3 linked regions of the Oryctolagus cuniculus genome follow. The protein of the gene in region 1 purifies or fractionates together with the protein of each later gene. This does not show direct contact. Links are inferred from orthologs where the notes say so. Each region holds a gene or a part of one and is shown in the gene's direction. Other genes may lie near its edges.

Region 1 (5,298 bases):
ACTGGGGACAGGGCATCCCTCAGAAGGGACAGAGAGCACCCAGTCACTCCGTCTGGGGGAGAGCGAGGTTACATGGTTGAATGGAGAGAATACACCTGGGCAGGCCAGGCGGGCGGCTCAGCAGAGGGCAGAGGGCTGAATGCATGGTCTGTTTGGACTCCCTAGGTTGTTAAGGGAGTCTGTTTACCCACCTCCCCCTCTCCTCCAGGACAAAGGACAGGGAGCTTGGTGGAAGGGTTTGTTGGGTGAAATTAGCAAATTCCTCCCCAGATTTGCTGGTGCCAGGCAGAGTAGAGGGGTTTCCTTTAGGGTGCCTGTGTTTTAGGGTCCCATGTTATCAGGTCAGGTAACCCATCTGGTCCTGAGAGAGAATTCTGGGACCAACTGGGAGGTTATCAGGGTCTGGGCAGGACTTTGCAGTGCAAAATGCTGGGCTTCTGGAGCTTCCACAATAGGTGCTGGTCTTCAGGCCTGTCTCTCTCTCTCTCTCTCTCTCTCTCTCTCTCTCACACACACACACACACACACATACACACACACACAGGCTAATTTCTAACTTCCTACCTAAGAAAAACATTCAAAGAGAAAACAGATATATAGCCATGGGGAACCAAGACAAGCTAATGATGGGAAAACAAAGGAAAGAGGCCTTGGTTCGGCTTTAGGGGAAGAATCATGATCCAAAAAGACCAACAAGAAACAAAGTGAGCAAAGTGAGCACAGGATTTGTGATAAAACAGCTTCAGTGGGAGGCTGACACTAGGAAGAAGAAAGAGACCCATATAGGGTTCGGTGCTGTGCTGTAGTAGGTTAAGCCTCTGCCTACGGTGCAGGCATCCCACATGGGCACTGATTCCAGTCCTGGCTGCTCCACTTCCAATCCAACTCCTGCTGATGCACCTGGGAAAGCAGCAGAGGATGGTCTCCACTTGGGAGACCTGGAAGAAGCTCCTGGCTCCTGGCTTCAGATTGGCCTAGGAGTGAAGCAGTGGATGGAGAATCGATCTCTCCTTCTCTCTGTCTGTAACTCTACCTCTCAAATAAATAAAACCTTAAAAAAACAAACCAACACAAAGGTAGCCCAAAGACTGCAGGGGTCCCTACTGGAACCTGAAGAAAAAAGATGCATGGGGCCAATGCTGTGGCGCAGTGGTAAAGCCAACGCCAGCAGTGCCGGCATCCCATATGGGCGCTGGTTCGAGTCCTGGCTGCTCCACTTCCGATCCAGCTCTCTGCTATGGCCTGGGAAAGCAGTAGAAAATGGGCTAAGTCCTTGGGCCCCTGCGCCCGCATGGGAGACCTAGCAGAAGCTCCTGGCTCCTGGCTTTGGATCGGCACAGCTCCTGCTGTTGTGGCCATTTGGAGAGTGAACCAGCAGATTCAAGACCTCTCTCTGTAGCCCTGCTCTTCAAATAAAATAAATAAATCTAAAAAAGAAAAGAAAATGAGAGAAAAGAAAAAAAAGAAAGAAAGAGAAAGAAGGTGCCACAGCCCAGATCAGAGGATGAAGTGTTAACAGTAGGGGAGATTGGTGGGGCAGGTTGCTACACTGTCCTAAGCCTGGTGGAATTCCTCACGATAAAGAATTGTACAACTCTCATCTTATAAAATGGGTAACAATCTAACGAGATTTTTGCTTTTCCACAAACGGTACTTGTGGTTGCTCGCAGTAGCCCATCATAGAGCCATGCTATAGAAATGCAAAGCCTTAAACTCATACCGTGTAAGGCACGGGCCACGACGGTCGCTACCGTAGCTTTTGGAAGGCCTGCAGATTCCAGGAAGACTGAACCGCGGGAAGATCTGCAGGAACCCGGCCCACTGCTAACTTCCCTCGCACACGCCAAGCTTGGCGAACCACATTGCCCAGCAGTCCCTGCGGCCTTCGGCAGGCGCGGGCGCCGTGCATCCTGGGATTGGTAGTTCTGAGGGCCTTACTGTCGGCTTAAGCTGCCCAGCGCCGCGAACTCGCCTTCCCAGCTTGCCGCGCGGCAAGGGGGTGCATCTCGGCGACCAGGAAACGGGAAAGATGGCGGCTGTTCGGCGACGTTGAGGCCGCGTTGGGCGGTTCCGACTCAGGGTGGTGAGTTCTAGGCAGGGGAGATGGTTCCCTCGAGGTTGTAGAGAAGGCAAGTGTCGGGGGCATGGCTGTGGCCCCTGCCTCCGGGATGAGGCGCGGAAGAACGCCTCGGGGAAGAGGCGCGAGCCGGGGGAAATCTCAGACGGGCAGGAGCGCAGGGGCGCGGGCCCCAGGGGGAGTGCTGGCTGCTGGGGCTCAGGCCACGTTCTGGACGATGTTCCGGGCTCAGACCTTTGGCCGCCGGCACGACTGATTGTTTCCTGCCTCTCGTAGCCCGGTGCCGCAGTCACACTGGAACTTGAATTTTTCTCCCAGAAGCAGCCCGTACTTTCCCGCCTCCGTGCCGTCGGTATTATTAGGCCGGGAATTAGGGAGTTGTTTCTTTCCTTACCCATCCCTAAGGGATCAAGGGCCACTTTCTCAGTGGAGCCTTGCAGAAGTGCTTCTTCGAACTCCCCTACTAGTTCATGCGAGCCTGCCGTACTAGGATGGGTTCTCAGACCCTCTATTGTCGTAAAGCTTCTTAGGGATGGGACTTCCTGTTGTAACTCGCACAGTGTCCTGCGCTGTGCCTTATATGCGGTAGATGGTTGGAAAATACTTAACAGAATGGGAGTTGGGGGGGCGGGGAGACCTGCCCCGGCCGTACAAGAACGGAGGAACTAAAAAGTTCAGGAAATTGGAGAGGAAGGCTGCTGGGAGGCATGGCCGGAGTCCACTTGAGTTTCTGGTTTGCTCTGTGCCACTGAGACAGCTCTTGTCAAGGTCACAAATAATCTCTATTTCCCCAAATGCTGTACTCACTTCTCTGCCCCCTAATCTTTTTTTTTTTTTTTTTTTTTTTTTTTTTAAGATTTATTTCATTTATTTGCGTTACAGAGAGAGGCAGAGAGAGAGTGAGGTCTTCCATCCTCTGGTTCACTCCCCAATTGGCTGCAACAGCTGGAGCTGCTCCCATCCAAAGCCAGGAGATTCTTCCAGGTCTCCCATGCAGATGCAGGGGCCCAAGGACTTGGGCCATCTTGTACTGCTTTCTCAGGCCACAGCAGAGAGCTGGATCAGAAGTGGAGTACCCAGGACTTGAACCGGCACCCATATGGGATGCCAGCACTACAGGCGGCGGCTTTACCCACTATGCCACAGCGCCAGTCTCTACAATATTTCTTACTGCTGCTGTGCCTGACCCTTAAGTGTTTAGAGTGTCCCAGAACTTACTATGGGGTTCTCTTCTTTTTCTTTCTTTAACTCTACTTCCTAACTGGGTAATATCATTTAGTGCTCTGTGGCTTCAAAAGCTATGTACCTGTGACTCATGGTTGTCCCCAGACCCTCTGTTGAGTTCCAGGTTTGCATTTCCATATGCCTTCTGAGACTCCCCTCTTGGCTGTCTTATTACAGAGGTCTCAGCTGCAACCTGGCCGAAAGGAACTTTTGGTTCCGTCCTCAATCTCTTCCTTCCCCAGTCTTTGGTTGGTTCTCTATCAGCAACTCAAACTAACAGACTGTTCAGACCACAAATTTAGGAGCTATTTTCTTTTTTAAAGAAATTTATTTTTTATTTATTTGAAAGGCAGAGTTACAGAGTGAGAAGGAGAGACAGAGAGAGAAATCTTGCACGCACTGGTTCACTCCAGAAGTGGCCACAATGGCCAGCCTGTGTCAGGCTGAAGCCAGGAGCCCAGAGCTTCCTCTGGGTCTCGCATGTGGGTGCAGGGGCCCAAGCACTTGGGCCATCCTCTACTGCTTTCCCAGGTGCATTAGCAGTGAAGCAGCCAGGACTTGAAACAGTGCCCACATGGAATGCCGACATCACAGGCTGCTTTGTCCGCTGTGCCACAATGCTGGCCCTACAGTTTGATTTTTAGTTGCAGACATCTAAGCTAACTCCTGCCTCAGTACTTTAGTACTTGCTGTCTCTTCTACCCAATGAATTATTCTCCCTGAACAGATCTGGTTCTGTCTTTCCCATCATGGAAGTCTCAGTTTAAATATAAACTAAAAATTCTTTCTTGAGCCATCCATCTCTTGTTCATGTCACCCCATTTTATTCTCCTTGTTCATAACTATTTGAAATTCACTCTACTATATTGCCTTTTTTTAAAAATTTTTTTAAAGATTTATTTACTTGAAAGGTAGAGGGACAGAGAGGGAGAGCTACAGAGACAGATCTTCCAGATGTTGGTACCCATCTACCAAATGGTCCTGAGCACTGGGGCCATCTTCTGCTCCCTTTCTAAGAGGAGCCTTATCAGGAAGCTGACTGAGAAGCAGAGCAGCTGGTACTGGAACCAGCACCCTGATATGAGATGCCTGTGTTACAAGCAGCGGCTTAACCTGCTATGCCACAACATGCCCACCTCCCCTGGTTTCTTTGGTTTTGTTTGTGTTTTGTTTTGTTTGGAAGACTTAAGGCAGAAAGAGATTTTTCATCTGCTGGTTCACTCCCCCCCAAGTAGTGACAACAGCTGTGTCTGGGCCAGGCTGAAGCTAGGAGCCAGGAACTCCACCCTGATCCCCTGCCTGGGTGGCAGGGGTCATCTGCTCTCTTCCCAGGCCCATGAGCAGGAAGCTGGATCAGAAGTGGAGCAGCCGGGACTCCCAAGTGGCATCTTAACTCCTAGCACAACTGTGGCCCCCAGAGACTTGGTTTAGTTACTGCTAATTTCTGCCACCTTATACATGCTCAGTGAATATTTACTAAAAGAATGAATGATGTTCAGGCTGCCTTGTAGGAAAGATGTCCTCTTTTCTGGACTGTTCTCTCAGGACTTGTCTTAGTCTGCTTTCTGTTACTGTAACAGCATACCTGCAACTGGGCAGTTCTAGAGTAGACGTTAATTGATTGCAGTTCTGGAAACCGGCAAGTTAAAGAGCGTGCTGTGGTACCTACATGCCACATCATAGTGTGGCAAGACAGCAGGCATACCAGAGAAAGCTTGCCTTTTTTTTTTTTTTTTCTTCCAACTCATCTATATTTGTTACAACCTTTTAAAGCAAAATGATTTGGGCACTACGTTGAGAGCTTGCTTTTATAGCAAAGCCGCTCCCATAATAACCCATCAGTTACCTGAATGTATTTATCAATTTATGAGGGCATTGCCTTCATCAGCCAGATCATCAGCCAAAGATCCCACTTCTCAAGACTGCTGTATTGGGAACCAGGTTTCCAACATGAAATTCAGGAGCCAGGGCTGGCGTCGCGGCTCAATAGGCTAATC
Region 2 (4,997 bases), on another chromosome or scaffold:
AGCTGAGGTCGCCCTCCCCCACGTGGGCAGAGGCCCCCTAGCTGAGCCCTCGGGTCGGAGCTGAGGTCGCTCTCCCCCGCGTGGGCAGAGGCCCCCTAGCTAGGCCCTCAGGTGGGAGCTGAGGTCACCCCTCCCCCACGTGGGCAGAGGCCCCCTAGCTGGACCCTCCCCCGCGTGGGCAGAGGCCGCCTAGCTGGGCCCTCGGGGGCGCCGCCAGGGCAGGTGGGAGCTGAGGTCGCCCTCCCCCGCGTGGGCAGAGGCCCCCTAGCTGGGCCCTCGGGGGCGCCACCAGGGCAGGTGGGAGCTGAGGTCGCCCTCCCCCGCGTGGGCAGAGGCCACCTAGCTGGGCCCTCCCCTGCGTGGGCAGAGGCCGCCTAGCTGGGCCCTCGGGTGGGAGCTGAGGTCGCCTCCCCCGCGTGGGCAGAGGCCGCCTAGCTGGGCCCTCCGGGGTGCCGCCAGGGCAGGTGGGAGCTGAGGTTGCCCTCCCCGCAGGAGGACTGCCACCAGAAGATTGACGAGCTGTTCTCGGGGAAGCTGTACCTCATCGGCATCGCGGCCATCGTGGTGGCCGTGATCATGGTGAGCGGGCAGGCGGGCGGGGGGGGGGGGGCCGCCCCGCCCCGCCGGCCCCCGCTGACCGCCCCCCTCCCGCCAGATCTTCGAGATGATTCTGAGCATGGTGCTGTGCTGCGGCATCAGGAACAGCTCCGTGTACTGAGGCCGCGCTGCCCCCGCCGCCCCCGCCGCCTGTACAGAGCCACCCCGCTCGCTCCGCACGCAGCTGCCGGCTCTCCGGGCTCTGCGTCTCCCCCGGAGCCCCTGTGGCTGACGCCGCGTGCCAGGGGCACCTGCCGAGGGGGGCCGGGCCTTCTTAATCCTGTTGCTTTCCTGCCTGTTCCGGGAGCACCTGTCCTTTCTAACGTCACCTTCAACTGTAACGCCCGCAGCTGGACACAGTCTGTAATAAAGGAGGAGACATCGGGCATGCTAACGCGCTGGCCGCCGGTCCTGGCCGGTGGGGTCTCAGTGGGTGGGGCGCTGGGGACAGAGGGGTCTGGACTGTGCCGAGCCCGCGCGGAGCGGACGGGACCAGGACCCAGGGAGCGTTCCGCGGGTGACCGCCCCTGGGGCACACCGGGCTGCGGGAGGGGGCGGCCGGGCTCCGGGCTCCCTGCGGGCAGCAGGCCCCAGGTCTGCTGAGACGTGGGTGGCCCCCCGGGCCTCAGCAGCATCTCGGAGCAGCCAGAGCAAAGGCCCCGCCTCGGCCTGGACAGCAGCCAGGGAGGACTGAGGCTGGCCCTGCGGAGGGCGGGGGCTCCTGCTGCTCCCAGCCCCTGGGGGACAGGGTTGCCTGGGAGAACTAGGTGCAGCGAGGAGTCCCCTCCACTCCCCCCGGGCCGTGCTGGCCCAGGCTGGCCTCTGGACGTGCAGGGCCTGGGGCCCCGGGGCTGCCAGGACAGGGTGGGTGTCCCAGAGGTGCCTGGGCCGTGCATGACCCGCCTGCTGTCCGCGGCTGGCCCCCCCGGGGTCCTTAGACGCCGGTCTCCCCGTGAGTGCCAGGACAGCAGGCCCCCGCAGGAGAGGGACTCAGGAGCTGGGGTCTGGCGGGCACCGAGCAGCCCCAGCAGAAACGGGGGCAAAAGGCGCTGCCCACTTGGGGCCTGGTGGCCAGCGAGAGGCCTGTCTGGGAGAGCCCGGGGCCGGACCTGCCCAGGATGGCCACGCCCAGCCCCGGCTGCCTGGGCCGCTGGGCAGCGCTCCGCGCGCCTGTCCCTGAGGGCCGGGGAACCGGAGAAACATCGTCAGAGGCTCCCGACGTCCAGCGCAGCCCACAAGCTCAGTGGCTGCCAGGCCCGCCCCGGGCATTGACGGATGGACCCGGGAAGGGGCAGCGACTTCCGCTTTCGGAAGGCCGGAAGTGCGGGCAAGGGCTTCTGCTCCACCGTGCGCGATGACGCACTTCCTGTCTACGTCGGCTGCTGTCTCCGCACCTCCCGGTAGGTGGCACTAAAACTCCGAGAGGCCTGCGCCTCGCCGTTAGTCGAGCATTCTGGGAGTGGCGGTTGGCTCCGCCCCTTCCTCCGTGTCAACGCTAGGCCTTTTCCGTTTCCGGAACCCGCTCCTGGCGCAGGGCTTGGAGGTGTAAGGAGAAGGGCGTGGGCGCATGCGCACTGGGGCACACGTCCCGTCAGGGCTCGGGAGCTGAGGCCCGGTGGCTTATGGGAGATGTAGTTCTTCGGTCGCGGAGGCCACAGTGCGCGGCTAGCGGGGGACTCGGTTTCCCAAAAGGCTGAGCGCGGCCGGCGGGGAACCCGAATGAAGGCGGCCGGCACGAGGAGCCGGTAAGTCCGGGAGGGCCCTCTGCGCGGCCGCCCTGACACGGCGAAGGTGTGCTCTGCTCCGCGGCAGAGGCGGCCGGAGGCAGCTAGAGCCGCTGCCCCTCGGCCCGGTCGCGGGATCCCGGCCTCCCCAGCCCAGGGCGCGCTCGCCGCGGTCCCTGCTGGGCCCAGCGCTCCTCCTGCGGCTGCTCCGCGGGAGGAGGTGCTGCGCCGCGCCTGGGTCGGCCCGAGGCGGGGAGCGCCGTGTGGAGGGTGCGCCCGGGCTGTCCTGCAGCCAGCCCCTCGGGAGCGCGGGTGGGGGTCGTGTCCGGGGCCGCGGGGGCGGCCTCTGCCCAGCAAGGCCGCTCGAGCTGACCCTTGAGCGCGCTCGCGAGCCCGACCCCGCCGGGGTGGCCGCGGCCCGGGCCCTGGGGCCCAGCCCTGGGCTCCGCCTCGTCCCAGGCAGCTTGCGGCCGGCCCCGCGCTCTGACGCGGGCTCTGTCCCCCGCCCCTCACCCAGCCCCGTCTGAGCAGCGGAGCCGAGGCCACCGAGGAGCCCACGCCGGGGCCACCGAGGACCTCCGTGGGCGGACGGGGGAGGTGAGAGCCGGGCCGGGGAGGGGCCCGCTGCTGCGGCCGCGTGGGCCGGCGACCCTGAGCTGCCCCCTCCCCGCGGGCTGCTTCCCCGCAGGTGCCGTGGGACGGGGCCATGGCCCAGGCGGGGGCCGAGGGGGACGCCGCGCCCCCCGACGACGCCGACTTCCCCAGCGACTCGGGCTCGGACTCGGACTCGGACCTCAGCTCTGGCGGTGCCGAGGCGGCCGCGCCGTGTGTAGACCTGCCCGCGGACTCAGAGGACTCCGAGCCCCCCTCGCCGCCCCCGGCGCCCCCCGCCCCTGCGGCCCAGCCGTTCTGCCTCCGGGGCACGAGCTCCGCCTTCTCCCGGCGCAGCCACAGCGTCTTTGACGGCCTGGAGGGGGCGGCCGGCGCCCCCAGGGGCCCGCGTGTCCCCGACTACGTGGCGCACCCGGAGCGCTGGACCAGGTACAGCCTCGAGGACGTGGCCGAGGCCAGCGAGCAGAGCAACCGGGCGGCGGCGCTGGCCTTCCTGGGCGCGCGGGGCCCGGCCGCCCCCGCCGCCTGCGCGCCCGCCTTCAACCAGGACTCCTCCAGCTGCGGGGAGGGCAGGGTGGTCTTCACCAGACCGGCCCGAGCCCGCGAGCCCAGGCCCGAGAGGAAGAGGGGCCTGGGGCAGGGCGCGCAGCCGGGCAGGGGCCTCCCGGGGACCGAGGCGGTGGAGCTGCCCCACCTGGCCGGGCCCGGGAGCCCAGAGGCCGAGGAGAGGGGCGGCACCCCCGGCGGCCTGCAGGAGGAAGACGCGTCCCCCGCGGCTGCCCACAGAGGGGCCTCGCCAGGGCCCCCCGGCCTGGACGCCGTCGGCTTCCACGGCGCCAGGAAGCGGAGCCGGGAGCACTTCCGGAACAGGGGCAGCGGCTGCGAGGGCCCAGCGGCTGAGGGGTGAGCGGGCCGGGCCGCGGCCGGGGGCCCGGGGCTCCATGGGTGACAATAAAGGTGTTGGGTGTCCTCGGGTCCTGTCTGTCGTCTCACTCCCCCTGGGCCCCCAGCCCCGCTCGGACCCTGCAGAGTGACGGCCCCAGTGTTCCGCTTCTCTGGGTTTTTGTTTGCTTTTAATTTTGAAAGATAGAGAGGTCTTGCGTGCACTGGTCCACTCCCCAGAGAGCCGCAGTGGCACAGGGGCCGTCTGCTGCTCTCCCAGCTGCAGCGGCAGGGAGTTGGGTCAGAGTGGAGCAGCCGGGACTGGAACCACACATACAGGAGGCGGCTTTACCTGCTGCGCACAGTGCCGGCCTGGAGGGGCTGAGGGGTCCCCCTGGGCTGGGGTCAGGCCACAGGAGTCCAGCATGGTGCCGGACAGGCCTGAGTGGTCCTGTAGCCGTGCCCACGCTCGCCTCTGGCTGTGCCCCACCCAGACTGTCAGGACGGGGTGCAGAGCCGGCATCTGGGGTCTTGTGCCAGGACTCCAGCCCAGCATGGGCCATGGGGGACAAAGGGTGGGTTCCCCAGGTCTGCTGGGGGAGGCCCACGGAGCGAGCATGTCTGTCCCCCACTCCCTTGACCCTTGAGGGCTCGGCCTGGTTGTGACTCAGCTCAGTGGGTGGTGTGGGTAGCCCAGGAGCCAAGGCCTGCCCCCGTGTGGACACTGTGGTTTGACCTGGGTTGGAGGGGATGTGGGCTCCAGGGAGCACCGGAAATAGAGCCACTTTGGGTTCAGGGGTGGGGACACTGCCGGAGCCGGCACAGGGGCGGCCGCCCTGCCCCCGGGACTGGGCAGCTGACTGGCTGTCTCAGGACCGACCGTCTGCGTCTCAAAGGACAGAACTGGCCACCACCAGACTTTAGTCAGGCAGCACGGCGGGGGGCGGGGTCCCTGGGCACCCTGCCCGATGCTGTCCAAGGTGGGACACAGGTGCACGCTGCCATGGGAGGAACGCCGGCAGGGTCTGGCTGGGGCTCCTGTTCATGAGGTCGGATGTCGGAGCGGGGTGGCCTGTGTCCCCCGGCCAGCACAGGCCAGGAGATGCCAAGCTGCTCAGGTGTCTGAGGGGGGCTGGGCGGCCTGTGGGTGCTCCCTGCCGCCAGCGCGCCCTCCACGATCAG
Region 3 (5,018 bases), on another chromosome or scaffold:
CTGACTCCTGGGCCCAACCCAGGCCATTGTGGCCATTTGGGAAGTGAACCAGTAGATGGAAGATCTCTCTCTCTGATTCTTCCTCTCTCTATGTGTAACTCTGACTTCCAAATAAACAAATAAAATAAAAGAGAGCCCAGAACTTCATCCAGGTCTTGCATGTGGGTGCAGGGGCCCAAGCACTTGGGCCAACCTCTGCTGCTTTCTTGGGCACATCAGCAGGGAGCTGGATTGGAAGTGGAGCAGGCGGACTCCACCTGGTACCCACATGGGATGGTGGCACTACAGAGGCAGCTTAACTTGCTGCACCACAGTACTGGCCTCTAAATAAGTAAATCTTTTTTTTTTTTTTTAAGATTTTATTTATTTGAGAGGTAGAGTTACAGACAGTGAGAGGCAGAGACAGAGAGAAAGGTCTTCCTTCCATTGGTTCACTCCCTAAATGGCCGCAACGGCCGGAGCTGCGCCGATCCGAAGCCAGGAGCCAGGTGCTTCTCCTGGTCTCCCATGTGGGTGCAGGGCCCAAGCACTTGGGCCATCCTCCACTGCCTTCCTGGGCCACAGCAGAGAGCTGGCCTGGAAGAGGAGCAACTGGAACAGAATCCGGCGCCCCGACCGGGACTAGAACCCGGTGTGCCGGCGCCGCAGGCGGAGGATTAGCCTAGTGAGCCGCGGCGCCGGCCAATACCCATCCTACTATTCAGTCATTTTTTCAGAAGCAAACATGCAAGCATTCATCTGTAAGCTGCCATTCCACCTGTGAGACATGGTAGGGGTGGGTGAGGGGGCGGTGCCTACCAGTCCTGGGCTTTGGGAAGCAACTGTTACTGTCCTCAAGGAGTTCCTCCCGCCAGGAGGGCTGCCACATTCACCCAAGTTCCTCGGTGAGGTGGAGACGGCCCTGCCACGGAATGTGACGCCTGAACAAAAAGATCTGGCCCTGCTCATTCCGCTGGGCAAGAACCAGGGCCTCGAGGGCATGGGGGTTAGTGGGATGGGTGGGGGACGGAGCTTTCTCTGTTGTTCCATACGGAAGAGAAACACACGATTCTGTTGCTTTCTAGCGCTTCAGTTTCCTCTTCCAGAAATGGAAGGCTAACTGGCCTCTCCTTGCCGGGGGCCTTCCCAGGGCTGTTGCCAGAGTCAGCGGAAGCAGCTGGAGAAAAAGGCCTGGGGTGGGGGTAAAGCCGCACCTGCCACACCGGCGCTGGTTCCTGTCCGGCTGCTCCTCTTCCGAGTCAGCTCCCTGCTAGTGGCCTGGGAAAAGCACTGTCAGATGGCCTAATGTTTGGGTCCCTGCCACCCACGTGGGAGACCTGGAAGAAGCCCCTGGCTCCTGGCTTCAGCCTGACCCAGCCCTGGCCATTGCGACCACCTGGGGTTATCCAGCGGATGGCAGACTGCTCTGTTTTTCTAACTCTTTCAAATAAATAAATATAAAAGAGGCTGCGCATAGGATAGGCGCAAAGGAGGCGTGCATCCCGATACGGTGGAAGGTGCCTTGGCCGGGACCCGAGGCCCGACCCCTAAGCACTGTGGCGCCCCTAGCTCTGAAGGGCCAAGACCCGGAAGCACAAGTCCCAACCGCTCCACCCAGAAGGCAGCGGGAAGCGGCGCGCGCCTGCCAGAAACCCGGCCCGCCCCGCACTTCCGGCGCGCGACCCGGAAGCGGAAATTAGTCCGTCTCCTTCCCCTCCGTTGCGTCTCTCCTGCGTTGTTGAAGTCCTCAACCGAGAGCAGCGCGGTTTTCAGCGTGCGGTGAGGAGGAGTGGATCTCTGAGAGCCAGGAGCGGCTGCCGCCATGGCGGACGTGACCGCCCGAAGCCTGCAGTACGAGTACAAGGCGGTGCGTATGGGCTTAGGGGAGGACTCGGGGGAGGCAGTGTAGTGTATAGGGGAGGCGGCAAGCTGCGAGTGGGAGGTTCAGTCTCAAGGCCTGCAGGAAAGCCACGAAATCGGAGGCGAAATCGGATCGGGGCGAAAGTTTGGGTATGCGACGATACGGATTATCGCACCGGGGCCTGGGGCGGGCAGGACAAGGCGGAGAGCTCTGTGGGACCGGGCTGCCAAGCCTTTCAGCGTTCAACCCGCCCCTTCACCTGTCCCTCTCCACTCGCTCAGTACTTCCCGCATGAGGGTTGTTATGGTTAGAAGCCAGCATTGTTCAACTGATAGACGGCACGTAGGGCTTATCAGCCCTGTGCTCGTGCTTAGCGTTATGTGTTGCTATTTCTTTTCAAATTATATACCTTTATATTCCGGCTAGTGGTTATTAACGCTCATTGTGACTCTTGAGCTGGGATCAGGGTGCTGCAGGAACTGGCCTCGCGTATGTCAGAGCTTCAGCAGTGGTCTGATCTTTTCAGAACTCGAATCTTGTGCTCCAAGCTGACCGGTCTCTCATTGACCGAACCCGCCGAGATGAACCCACCGGAGAGGTGCTGTCCCTGGTTGGGAAGCTGGAGGGCACCCGAATGGGAGATAAGGCACAACGGACCAAACCACAGATGCAGGAGGAAAGAAGAGCCAAGTAAGTACCGATGGAGTCCTGTTTTTCTTCAGAACCGAAGTCTGTCTTTTCCTTAGCAATTAGTAGTGTTTTTGTTGAAGTGCGTGTTGCAAGATTGGACAGCAGTGGCATTAAAACAGATTGGTGAAGGTAAAAGCTGAACATGAGAGTTTGAAGATTCTACGGCCTTAGCAAATACACTTTGAGGGCTGGCGCTGTGGCGTAGTGGGTTAATTCTCCACCTGCTCTGCCAGCATCCCATTATGGGCGCTGGTTCTAGTCCCAGCTGCTCATCTTCCAGTCCAGCCCTCTGCTTTGGCCTGGGAAAGCAGTAGAAGATGGTCCAAGTCCCTGTACCCGAGTAGGAGACCCGGAAGAAGCTCCTGGCTCCTGGCTTCAGATAGGCATAGCTCCAGCCACTGGGGCCATTTGGGGAGTGGCCCAGCGAATTGGAAGACCTTTCTGTCTGTCTCTCCCTCTCTATGTCTGTAACTATACCTCTCAGTAAATAAATAAAACCTTAAAAAAATAAATAAAGTACACCCAAGTGGAAAATACTGGTACCTTTTTGTGTTTCTGGTCCATAAACATCTTAATTTTCTTGAGGGTATCTTTAAGACCTTTGGTATTTCTCATCTCAGTAGGTTTTTAATTTTTTAAGACATTTATTTTTGAAAAACAGAGTAACAAATAGAGAGAAAGGGATTTTCCATGTGCTGGTTCATTCCCTGAGTGGTTGCAATGGCTGGGGTTGGGCCAGGCTGAAACCTGGAGCCTGGAATTCCATTTGGGTCTTCATGTGGGTGGCAGGAACACAAGTACTTGGGGCCACTTTCCCTTGCTTTACCAGCACATTATCAGGGACCTGAATTGGAAGCCGAGTAACAGAGACTTGAATCACTGCTCTGATGGGAGATGCTGGCATTACAGATGGCAGCATAACTGCTAGGCCACAGCACTGGCCCCTTTGTATTTTGAATTTATTTCATCTGAGAGATAGAGACAGGCCGATTAAAGAACTCACATCTGCTCGTTTACTTCATAAATGCCCATGTTAGCTGCAGCTGGTCCAGGTTGAGGCCAGGAGACTGGAAGGCAACCTAGGTTTCCTGTGTGGTGGCAAGGACCTACACACCTGAACCGTCTCCTGCTGCCTCCCAGGATATGTGTGTATTAGTAGGAAGCTGAAGCTGGAAGTGGAGTTAGAATTGAAGCCAGATGTTCCAATATGGGCTGTGGATGTCCAAGTGGCATCTTACTGAGTGCTGTACTGCATGCCTACTCGTGTTTTTAAATTAATGATAACCCTGTCTTGTAACATTTAGTGAACTTAGTGAGAGGGTGAACACTTCCTTTCTGTTACTGTGTCCTACAAAGAAATACTTGTGCAAATGATTAAGGTGAAATGGGGCTCATTTGTTGCGGTGCAGGTGTACGGTGATACTGAGGAGGGAGGGCTTGATTCTCTTCTTGTCTTGGGGAGGCAAGGTTCTCCTGTGGAATGTCACACTGTGTGTCCCTTAGGCGAAGAAAGCGTGACGAGGACCGGCATGACATCAACAAGATGAAGGGTTATACCCTGCTGTCGGAGGGCATTGATGAGATGGTGGGCATCATCTACAAGCCCAAAACCAAGGAGACCCGGGAGACGTATGAGGTGCTGCTCAGCTTCATCCAGGCTGCGCTTGGGGACCAGGTGAGGCCGCCAGAGAGTGAGTGCCTGTGCTTGGGAAGGGAGGGGGTGACGGCTGGGGGACACCAGAAGAACCTTGTCTCTGGATTTCCCTGTGTGGCTCATACCAACTTGCGGAAGTGACTAGTATTTACGAAGTGTTTGGTTGAAGTGAAATGATACTTTACATGGTTTTTTCCTCCTTTTACATCAACTCTATGGATTGATGCTATTAAAAAAAAATTGGTTCTTTTGGTCTACTTGAAAGGGAGAGTGACAGAGAGCTATCAGTTGATTGGTCTTCCATCCACAGGTTCACTCCCCATATGCCTGCAACATCCAGAGCTGGGCCAGGCCAAAGCCAGGAGCCTGAAACTCCATCGGGGTCTCCCATGTGGGTGGAAGGGCCCAAACACTTGAGCCGTCATCTGCTGTGGGGTGCATTAGCAGGAAGCTGGAGCAGCAGCAGAGGTGCCAGGACCTTAACTGACACTCAGATATGCACAGGTGCATATCCCAAGTGTTGGCTTAACCTGCTTTGCCACAGTGCCCACCCCTAGGTGCTATGAATATTCGTTTTCCATTTCATAAAGGGAGATGCAAGGCACATAGTAGTTATGTAATTTTGCTAAGTCACAGAAGTAGTATTTGGCAGAGCTAGGCTGTGAATCCAAGTATCCCACCCCATCTGTGCTGTTAACTATTATATGTGTGAGAACAAATTAAGGCCTTTTCTGAGTCTGAGAGGTTCTAGTGGGATGGATTCTAGAGTATGTGAGGACAAATAATTACCAAAAATGTGGCAGGCTAGGGGAAGACTGCCAAGTTGTAGAAGCT

Evidence for each region.
Region 2: the proteins of DDX23 (region 1) and TSSC4 purify together in Homo sapiens (affinity purification with mass spectrometry; 3 studies listed by BioGRID and IntAct, with this or other methods). This does not show direct contact. The link is inferred for Oryctolagus cuniculus from reciprocal best matches to the Homo sapiens genes DDX23 and TSSC4.
Region 3: the proteins of DDX23 (region 1) and SNRNP200 purify together in Homo sapiens (affinity purification with mass spectrometry; 3 studies listed by BioGRID and IntAct, counting the BioPlex papers as one, with this or other methods). This does not show direct contact. The link is inferred for Oryctolagus cuniculus from reciprocal best matches to the Homo sapiens genes DDX23 and SNRNP200.

The regions. Positions count from the first base shown.
Region 1 is NC_091442.1:52,328,104-52,333,401, reverse strand, and holds the start of DDX23 (probable ATP-dependent RNA helicase DDX23), read left to right. Parts: upstream 1-1,933; 5' UTR 1,934-2,083; intron 2,084-5,298. UniProt on the Homo sapiens protein: Involved in pre-mRNA splicing and its phosphorylated form (by SRPK2) is required for spliceosomal B complex formation.
Region 2 is NC_091432.1:1,158,427-1,163,423, reverse strand, and holds TSSC4 (U5 small nuclear ribonucleoprotein TSSC4), read left to right. Parts: upstream 1-1,865; 5' UTR 1,866-1,951; coding exon 1,952-1,997; exon of another isoform or gene 1,998-2,838; coding exon 2,839-2,918; exon of another isoform or gene 2,919-3,009; coding exon 3,010-3,840; 3' UTR 3,841-3,907; downstream 3,908-4,997. Other genes in the region: CD81 antigen, read left to right, coding at 493-579, 656-718; TRPM5 (transient receptor potential cation channel subfamily M member 5), read right to left, coding at 4,930-4,997. UniProt on the Homo sapiens protein: Protein associated with the U5 snRNP, during its maturation and its post-splicing recycling and which is required for spliceosomal tri-snRNP complex assembly in the nucleus.
Region 3 is NC_091433.1:111,274,893-111,279,910, forward strand, and holds the start of SNRNP200 (U5 small nuclear ribonucleoprotein 200 kDa helicase), read left to right. Parts: upstream 1-1,628; 5' UTR 1,629-1,801; coding exon 1,802-1,846; intron 1,847-2,366; coding exon 2,367-2,530; intron 2,531-4,033; coding exon 4,034-4,205; intron 4,206-5,018. UniProt on the Homo sapiens protein: Catalyzes the ATP-dependent unwinding of U4/U6 RNA duplices, an essential step in the assembly of a catalytically active spliceosome. Plays a role in pre-mRNA splicing as a core component of precatalytic, catalytic and postcatalytic spliceosomal complexes.